2 linked regions of the Neodiprion lecontei genome follow. Each later gene encodes a partner of the first gene's protein in a complex. Links are inferred from orthologs where the notes say so. Each region holds a gene or a part of one and is shown on either strand. Other genes may lie near its edges. The genes, in order: dystrobrevin beta and beta-1-syntrophin.

Evidence for each region.
Region 2: dystrobrevin beta (region 1) and beta-1-syntrophin share a complex: the UniProt entries of both Caenorhabditis elegans proteins name them as parts of the dystrophin glycoprotein complex. The link is inferred for Neodiprion lecontei from reciprocal best matches to the Caenorhabditis elegans genes dyb-1 and stn-1.

The regions. Positions count from the first base shown.
Region 1 is NC_060262.1:18,390,542-18,395,437, forward strand, and holds the start of dystrobrevin beta, read left to right. Parts: upstream 1-1,821; 5' UTR 1,822-1,988; intron 1,989-4,896. UniProt on the Caenorhabditis elegans protein: Plays a role in cholinergic transmission and as a functional partner of dystrophin (dys-1), necessary for muscle maintenance. Required for localization of ctn-1 near dense bodies in muscle cells.
Region 2 is NC_060263.1:19,321,106-19,326,096, forward strand, and holds the start of beta-1-syntrophin, read right to left. Parts: upstream 3,249-4,991; 5' UTR 2,912-3,248; coding exon 2,810-2,911; intron 1-2,809. UniProt on the Caenorhabditis elegans protein: Adapter protein that binds to and probably organizes the subcellular localization of a variety of membrane proteins. May link various receptors to the actin cytoskeleton and the dystrophin glycoprotein complex (DGC).

The sequences.
Region 1 (4,896 bases):
CAACTTCTTCATTGGTTTCATTCGGTAGATATCGGTGTTCATCAGTATCTTAGATTCCAAAATATTGAGTGTGGTATCTGCGACATTTGATTCTGCGAGACTATGTACATAAATTGAGATTTGGAGAGGGATATTGTAAATATGGTCTTAGAATCTCGACTGGAATTCTTTGCTTCAAAATGAGGTGCAGATATCTTTAAATAGAATCTCAAAGCTCTTATGTTTAGCACCTCATAAATGTCTACATCTGATTTTTTTCTCGATTTTGCAAGCAAGATAATGTTAATTATTGCTTTCTGCAATATGTAAATTGTAACACGTCCGACATTTTAAAAATCGGTCAAATCACTGCCATACTAGCATTATAATCTTATATTGTAAATTGCAATCTTGTACGATGAAGATAGTAAGTACATATATTTTTAAAATATCTAAATATTAATATATACACATTAATATATTTGACTAGATTTTGTAATAAGTACTTGATAAGTCTCCGACATACCGCAAACGTTTGATAATATTTTGATAACTTATATAATGATTCTAATATTTACAAGATTTTTCCTTAAAAGCCACGGTAACATTAAAATTTACCATTTATTATGCTGTGCCTAAAGAAACTGATTTAAAAAAATTTTAGAAGTTTATAGAAATATAATTTACCATGTATGCAACTTGTCACCTATCGGTATAACAATATACTTAAACATTAGTAATTTCATAAATATGTGCTCCTAAACGAACTTGTAACAAATAAATATATCCGCTAATTGTGCTGTACAACTAACTATTCTTGCATCAAAAATAGAAAGTGAATCGCTAGCTTTAATTGCTAACAAGATCAATAAAACCGTTACATCAATTATACATATATGAAATATATCAAAATGTACAGTTCGAAGTAGAACAATTCACCAAAAATGAGGATTATTAATATTCATTCTATTACTACAGGATATTTACGTAAAATGCATCTTTCACTACTTTTATGCATGTAAAGAGTGCAGAAAATTATTGATGATTCAAAGATAACACTGACTTTCAAAATTACTGACTGTTTACTATTATAAAACCATACGTGGATACAAATTGAATATTGCATGTAAGAGAAAGTGTCTCAAGTTCTTAAAGCTTCGGAATCAGCCGCTTAAATGTTCAATCCGTTCTGCCATACATTGTCGAAACATAACCAAATTATTAGAATTTATCAAAAAGATGTGTCCTTTGATCAAACTGTAATCCCCAGACGCAATGACAACGTTATCAAATATATTTCTAAAAATAAGATGTCATTGGTAAGGCAAATTTATAAGGAGAGATCTATGTAGTAGTCAAGAAAAGAGTTCAAAAATAAAAAGATTCACTGTAAATCCAGTATATGAACTTTACTTCACCAATGTTGTGTATAATACTTAACATTGTTGTGATAATATTATCACCGTTAATATCGGATGAATAATTAAGATGTTTTAAACACACAGTAATAGATCATGTTTACCGTTCGTACTTATCGACTGTAAAGATGAAAATAATCCCACATACAGAGAAGCATGAAAAAGTTATTAATTCCTCTATTTTCTCAGTAAAAGTCAGTATAAACTAAATGATATGTTGCTTCTTATTATTTTATCATTACTTGATTAAATTGTTACGAATTTAAAATGGCTGTTTCCCTCTGCATTACAGTGAGTTTGAAATTGGCGCCCGAAAGACAGCCATGGGCAATGGATAGGGGAGTTTTTGTTTGCGCTCCCGCCCGAGAGAGGAGCTGAACGCCGTATCTGCTAGTGTACACGCAAATATGCATTAGCGCCTTATGGCAGCGTTCCTCCTATCCTATCCTCCTCGGACCGAACTACAGAAGTTAATTTTCAGTAGGCAGTAATGGCCGTAAGGATTCAGGTGTGCGTTGTGTTCGTGCTGTGTGAGATACTTGTTTACCGTCAATATTCAATGTAAAACACCGTCCTCGCGTCAAAAAACAGGTAAGAACAGTAGGGTATTTATCCATACTGAAAAACACCAAGTACCCCGTTTTGCTGCGAAATATAACTCTCGGAACTCCTAGTTGACAGTTCTCAGCTCTCCAGGTAGTCAATAACGTACACATTTGTGAATTGCCGTCTTGCTAGCAGCGCGAACTGCAATACGCGACCTCGAACGAGTGGCATAATTGTTGAGATAATTTTCTCAAGCTTTTACGCCGCGCTCGTTGATCAGGCGATTATCTTTGCGCCAGTTTAAGCATGAGCAATAAAATTATCAAGCCGCGTACCGGTAAAGCAGGTTAGGTGAACGTGTACCACGGTATATTGTGACGTCACAGTCGACGGCCAATCAGAATTCAGCCCTTCGTAGGTCCATGCACTTTGTTGGGTGATTTAAAAAATCTACATACACATATAATGTCGCCAGGCAATACGCTTATAACCTTATTCCTAAGTATAGAAACTTGTACAGCGTCGCGACCTGTCCGATTAATTTTATGTTTACAGTCTGTTTTCTTTATCCGTGACAGATTCAAAGTCAGTTGATTGCGATCATGCTTACTTGATTATATCCTCAAACTGTTTAATGTTCGTATCTAACAGTAGCGATTTATTAATATTTCTTAAGAGTGGTAGGTTGAAGGCCCAGAAAATCTGAAGATTTTACAATGTAAGAGTTCAATATTGCCTTCCTTTGCTGCTCACTATTAAGTTCTTAAAGATCGTAGATCTTTCTTACGTACGGTTTGAACCAAATCCTCGTATTGGTTATTGGCAACGGTCAAAAAGAATGAATCAGTATTTTCAACTTTGTTTCCAGGGAAGTTATTATGATCACCCCGAACACAGAGGACGCTGAAATTAGCCACAGGTTTCCACTGCTGAGAGCTTCTGATCATGATTTTCTAAGTAGGGGTGCACCAAATTACAGCAAAAAAAGTTGCATTCGCAATCAAACGTGAACACAAATTCGTAGCGTTGCGCGCTAGAGGGCTGATTGTGAAACCTGCGGCTAACTTCAGAGTCTAGTCGTCACTTTTAGATGGACGCTGGGCGTGTGTGCATGTGATCGATTTTTTGTAAGACGATATCTCGCGAACGATTAAACGAATTTTTATGGCCTTGGTCACATTGATAGGATTCTTTCTAACCCCGAATTGACTGGATTTTGGGAAAATTTATCCGATCCATCTCTGAAATCTTATCGAAAATAACTATAGAATAACGGGATGTTCTAGGACTGGTTCTTTCAAGGCAGTCGCGTTTTTCCTGCTTTCTTTTACTTTCAATTAAGAAACTTGAATTGAACTTAAGTTTGATCTGTAGCGAGATTTGTATGATGTTTTTGTCATCACGGTTTCATTCGTCTTTTATTTTATTCACTAACCCATTAAAAAAGTTTTCTGATTCCCCGCCAGATTTACAGTTGCTACTTAAATTCGTACTTTTTTGAACGTATATTATACAACGGCGGGTAATTGACGTCCAGTTTCCAAGTTTTAATATTGGATGTGCACATAACTGCAAAAGTATTAAACCTCATTATCAAACGTTTTTCCAACTGGACCAATTTCTACGATAATGGACTGGGAAAATGAATAACTTTGCGAAATTGTGTATATTTTGAAATTTATTTATACGTACAATCTTGCCAATGTGTATTTACTCTCGGTTAGAGTCTTTTAATTTGAAACTATTATTGTTATGACTCTATAAACTCCAGAAGTTACTATTAATGGCATAAAACGAGGATAATAGAAATAGGAACCTGAGTAATCCAATATAGTACAGGGTAAACTTTACAAAAAGTTTACGGTAAGTGCACCAGGAAATGACCGATTGAAACGATCATTTATTAGTTCACGGTCCTTTTCTAATCCTATAATATCGATTTAACAATTTAGAAATGGCTTTTAAACTTCTTAGAAATATCACAAAATCCCAATTCAAGTCAATTTTTGTCATGCGACTATATCCTATTAGCTCTCATATCTGCACTATATACTATCATTACGTGTAACAAACTGAAGGTAGCTTGAATGATTTAGCAAAGACTTTGAAACTCTACTAATAGTGAGGCAGCATGAAATTTTTATCAATATCCCCCTTCCACTATTTACTATGCAGTTAGGTATATTTGTGAAATAGTATTTATTCGGGATTCTTTTCCTTTATGTTCAATGTAAACTTGAATGATGATTTTATTAGGTACTGTATACTTTACGTTCTATTTACGTGGACAATGCGGGAAACTCGCGTATAACTATCAGCAAGAACGAGAAGCTATCGTTGAAACTTGGGCTGTCTGAAACTTCTTCAAATAAACGAGATTCGGAAAATATTATTGTATACTTTTCATGTATAGTATTCACCACACATCCAAAGGTTAAAATATTAGATACACACCTATGTTATTTTTTGTATGATCCAGTCCATTCGATAAGAATTTTTTTGTTGTTTTGCCCATTAATGATATTCTACACATGCAAGACAAACTACGTCACTAAAGTAACGAAAATAACATTTTTTTGAAGTGTAAATCATACGACTTAAATTCTTCTTATTGTTAGCTTTTTTGAAAATATTAAATATAGCGTCGCACGGTCGACAATTTGTTCATTTTGATTAATTACTGTACCTACCGATAATTATCTTCAGATCATGAACAAACTTGCTTTTCAAGTTTGCTGAATGATCATAAAACATTGATAAAATTACATTTGTAGCTTTTCACTATTATAGGTATACCTATAATAGAGTAGTCTAATTTTGTCATCACATTTTTAAAAAAAGTTTTACCGTGTAAAATTCTCCGGTTATTTAATATTTGCAAATTATTGCCGAACACGCACAGAAGTGGATTCTTTTATGGGAATATATCACATGTACTAATAATCATCTACAA
Region 2 (4,991 bases), on another chromosome or scaffold:
ATTCCAATTTGTATGTTTAGTGTATAACTTGTGTGTTAATTTTTGTATCTTTTGAGGTTAAAAAAGCATACGTGATAATTATTAAAAATATATAAAAATTATTTTAAAAAATCACGAACCGGAAAAACAATTTTAACGACTCCACACAGAATAAGCATCTTATATATAGCGTAAACTTTACTTGCGAATGCAATTATAAGAATTTAAGGTCAGATGTTCGGTTTATATAAAGGTATAGGTGAAAGTTCATGAATATAAAAGGCACGATTTAAAAAAATTATGATAAAAGTAGTGAAAAATATTGACGGCAACGAGATAGAAAGGTATAGGTGTATTGAAGTAAATGCGAAAAACGAAAAAGGAAGTGGAGAGAAAAGAAAAGACAAGAGATTGGTGTGTAGGTATATGGGGCATTCCGTGACATCTCGATCAAGATTCTACGTCGATGTCTCAGATTGACTTTATAGTTTTTTCGTATAAAAGTACACGACGAAAAACGCGATTGTAATTTTTTTTTTAGAATTTCCGACCCAGCGTATCTGAATTATGATTTAAAAATTTGAAAAAGCAGAAACCCCACTTTCTAAAATCTGAAAAATCTTGTAAAATGTAACAAAATTTTTGACACCTATTAAAAGTTGGAGATTTCATAACGTCGAGAAATGAATAATAAAAATGAAAAAAAAAATACTGCTATTACATTGCATTTTCGACACAAGAATTGACGTACAAGCTCATTATAATATCTCTCCGAGTAGATATTTTCCGGATTTTTTATGAATTTGTTCAGATTTTCGATAGTTAAGTTTGTTTTTCAAGTTTTTAAATTATACTTCAGATACGCTGGGTCGAAAAATTCTGAAAAAAATTGCGATCGCGTTTTTCGTCGTGTACTTCCATAGAAAAAAATTATAAAGCCAATCTGAGGCATCGAAGTAGAATCTTGATCGACATGTCATGGAATGCCCCGTATACATATACATGAATACACGAGAGAAAGAAAAATGTAAGAGAGGGGATGAGAGTTTCCCAAGGAGGTAACGAACCGACCAACGAGTTTTCGAACGAATTGAACGAACGCTGCTGCCCGCCACGTGCGCTGCTGGCTTCTGTTGCCTGATGATGCTGCGTCACTGCTTGCAGAAAACTTCACCCTCGATACGTATATACGTGTACAATTGTACATACTGCGCATAGGATAAAAGAAAGAAAATAAAACCAACGTGGAAGAAAAACAAAAATCCAAAAATCCCCGCGTAAATCTTGCGACGAAATAAGCGTGAGAGAATTAAGAGAAGAGAAGAGGCAAAAAAAAAAAGAAGCAGAAGGAAAATAGAAAAAAACGTGGGACGAAAGAGAACAAACGAGATATAATTGAACGAATTAGAACGCGGATAGAATCATTTAGTGCAAATAACTGTATATAAAGTATAATAGTTGTACAATTGCTAACTTCACGAATGTTAGGAGAATTACATACGTACAGGGTGTACAGTTATTCAGCGAAAAAAACTATTTTTCAGACAAATGTCAGAGGATGATACATAAATAATCATACAGTTTTCGGCGATTTCTTGTACATCTTGTACAATAATATATTGAAAAAAACCGGAACCCGATTTATTGCGACAGATTTTCATATGAGCTTTTTAAATTGACTAACAACAGCTGACAGTAAGAAGAATTCTATTTTTCCGTCAGTTTGAAAAAACAAACAAACGGAGAATAAGAATAAAAATACAAAAAAGTAACCGAACTATTTATAAGATAAAAGAGTCTAATTAGAAAACTAACGAACCTCCGTACATAATCTTCCCCCTCATTTGTCAAAGTTAACACTCTCATTATATTATACCGGAGTCCCCTTAAATTCCTGCGTGACAACTATCTAACACACCTATATACACAGGTATATTGTACACGTGTGTGTGCCTCGCAGGTATAATTAAAACTTTTCCGGTTATATTTCGTACAACGGTGGCGATGTGTTTGCCATTGAAATTGAGTCGTCAACAATTATTTGCTACTTGGAAACACTGAATTCAGCAATTAGTTACAAAATTTATACATCATACAATCAGCATGCTGCTGTTTAACGCTGAATTGAACCGATCGTTAATTCGCAATATAAAAGAGCAGGATATTTCACAAACAAGAATAAAGTTCTGGTAAATTAACTCGAGTTATGTAATTCACCGGATTTCAACTAGATATATATATATATACGCGTGTACGTATAATAGGTACATACATACATTGCGTGAAAAACGTATATGAAACTGCAGCTAAAACGAAAGGTGAACGTAAGGCATACACAATATATAATGAAATATAATACGTATCGACATAAAATATACGTGAAAAAAGAAAGAAAAGTGGAGATAAAAAAATCCTATCACCGACAATTAGAATGAAATAAGAATAAATGTTACAACAACAATAATAACAACAACGACAATAATAATAATAATAATGATAAATAATAATAACTCAATTACCTCGTACAAGAAAAAAAGGCAACGTTATTACCAACGTAAGTTACTGAGATCGATTCGTTATGCAACCGGGCAAACTTAATCAAGGACACAACTATGTAACGATGCGTGTGATATAATAAAAATAACGTGTTTAATGTACGTGTAGTTCAAAGTGTTGGTATTCGTGTAAGGTTTTTTTGCTTTTTCACTCTTTTTTTTCCTCCTCGTTGTCTAATCTTTCGCAAATTTATAACCCTTTCTCACTAATCTGCAATGTAATACGATATTGATTATACGTGAATAGTGATATTTTGTTAATTATTATATATTACCGATTTATGGGCGTGTATTGGCATATATATGACGTTCTTGTCGATTAGCCTATTTGAATTTTCGTAAAAATGTTCTCTTTCTCCCTTCTGTTGTTCAATCATTCGTGCATAGTTTTTGTCCAATTTTTCGAAAAACCCGCCGGTTCTCTGATTCTACGTCACCACTCTTCAATCAAGTACACGGGGTATTACGAAATTCGAGGCTGAGAGAAAAAACTGATTACTGCTAATCCATGACTACAAGAGGCGAACAAGAATTAACGATAATTCTTCATTCACTTGCCACGATTACCCTTGTTGTTGTTGTTATTATTATTATTATTGCTATTTTTATCGTTACGATCTATGTTGTTGATTTCTTTTCTTCTTCTTTCACAGGAAATTGAGGCAAAGTGCAGTGTCAGCGACATTTCGGTAATAACAAACTCCAGTCGTCGGATTCCGGCTACCGCAGACACAATAATTATTACGCCGAATATCCGTGTCCGGAGTCTCGCAATAATTTATTTATAAATATTGTGAGAGTTACTCAATTGCACATTTCAAGCAGAATAACGAATCAATCCTCGTCTTAGATTCACTCCGCAATGACCCGCAATTACTATTATTCTTTCGAGGCTAAAATGCGCCACCGCACGCTACGAATTATTTCTACTACAATGATAAACTTTGAAGGATGGCGACGCACCGATTCGTTCTTAGGAATCAATCAATTAACAGTAATTTTGCAGATATAAAACTTGGAAAAGAAAGGCGAGCGAGAAAATAGATTGAGAAAAATAAAAGAACGCGAACGCGTTTTTCACCTGTTTACTTATTCACCATCCGTCTATCTTGTTTTCGACTTCTAGCTTCTAGCTTCTAGCTTCGTTTATCTCAGTTCCCCGTAGTTTCCTTTCCACCTTTAACCAAAACTGTGACGATAAGAATTGCCGATAATAACGGAGAGCTCGGTACGCGTCCGGCTATCAACGATCAACGTGTTTGTTACAAAACAATCGACGATCAGGGGCTAACTTCAAGGCGTCCGAACCCGGCAGCCCGACAACTGAGCATCGCCGACCGTTCGAAATTCCCCGATATCCCTGGTTTTGGCGGGCTTTAAGTTTCTCACACACCGTCCGAAGCACTTCACGAACTTGCACACACACACACTCACAGGCCTTTTTCACAAGAAAAAAAAAAAATAAACACACTCGGCGCTGTTAATCGCCGACTTTCACTCGTCGCCGACTTCGCGTTGTTTACCACTTGCCACTCGGCCGCGCCGATCCGTTCCTAATCCCAGTTTACAACACGCCTCGGACGAGTTCGGGCGATTCTGAGAGGCCGGTTTACTCACTACACGGGAGAATTCCACTCGAGCATCGCTCAACGCGTTTAAAGTAACCGCGACGCAAAATCGCCGCCCAAACGAATGACAACCGAACACGTTTCACCGACGCGATCAGCGCCAGACTGAGCCGGAATCTCGAGGGCGGCACGAGCTACCGGCGTTCGAATCGCTCGTTACCCGCCGGTGAACCCGACGCCGAATACCGGCGACCCTCGACGCCAGCGACCCTCGCGGATCGTATCCGCACTTGTTGCGCCGCGCTGTCTCTCTCGCACCCCCCTCCCTCTCGACACCTTCCACCTTTCGACGTCCCCCCTCCTTTGCCGCTCGCTATCGACTCGACCTAACGGCTTTTTCGAACTTCCCGCCCCCAAAATTCCACACCAGGGTTTTTACACCGGAGGTGATAGGAATGCGACTGCTCACAGTCACGGATTTAATCAAGACGTGTAATTCGTAGTTTACAGTTTTCTAATGCACGGAGAAACGAGATCGTTCCAAACTTAGCGAAATTATATCATTTTCAATTAGTAGTCGGCCAAGGAGTTCGGAAAATTCGATGAAGCGATTGATATACTTACATACATCAGATTCTCGATTACCGATTAGGCAAGATGACGGGTTACGATTTAACAAAATTTTAAATCAATTTATTATTGATCAGAAATAAGAAGAGTTTGTAATACGATTTTCTGATTTGTACGATACGGAAATTTGTCGTGAAGGCAGCTGTCCTGAAAAAAATCCGAAATACGGCTATCGACCTTTTTGCAATGTGTTCGAAAGTGCCACTGAACTAGCGATTACGGCACCTGGGGCTAACTTCAAGCTGCGCAACTCGTATTT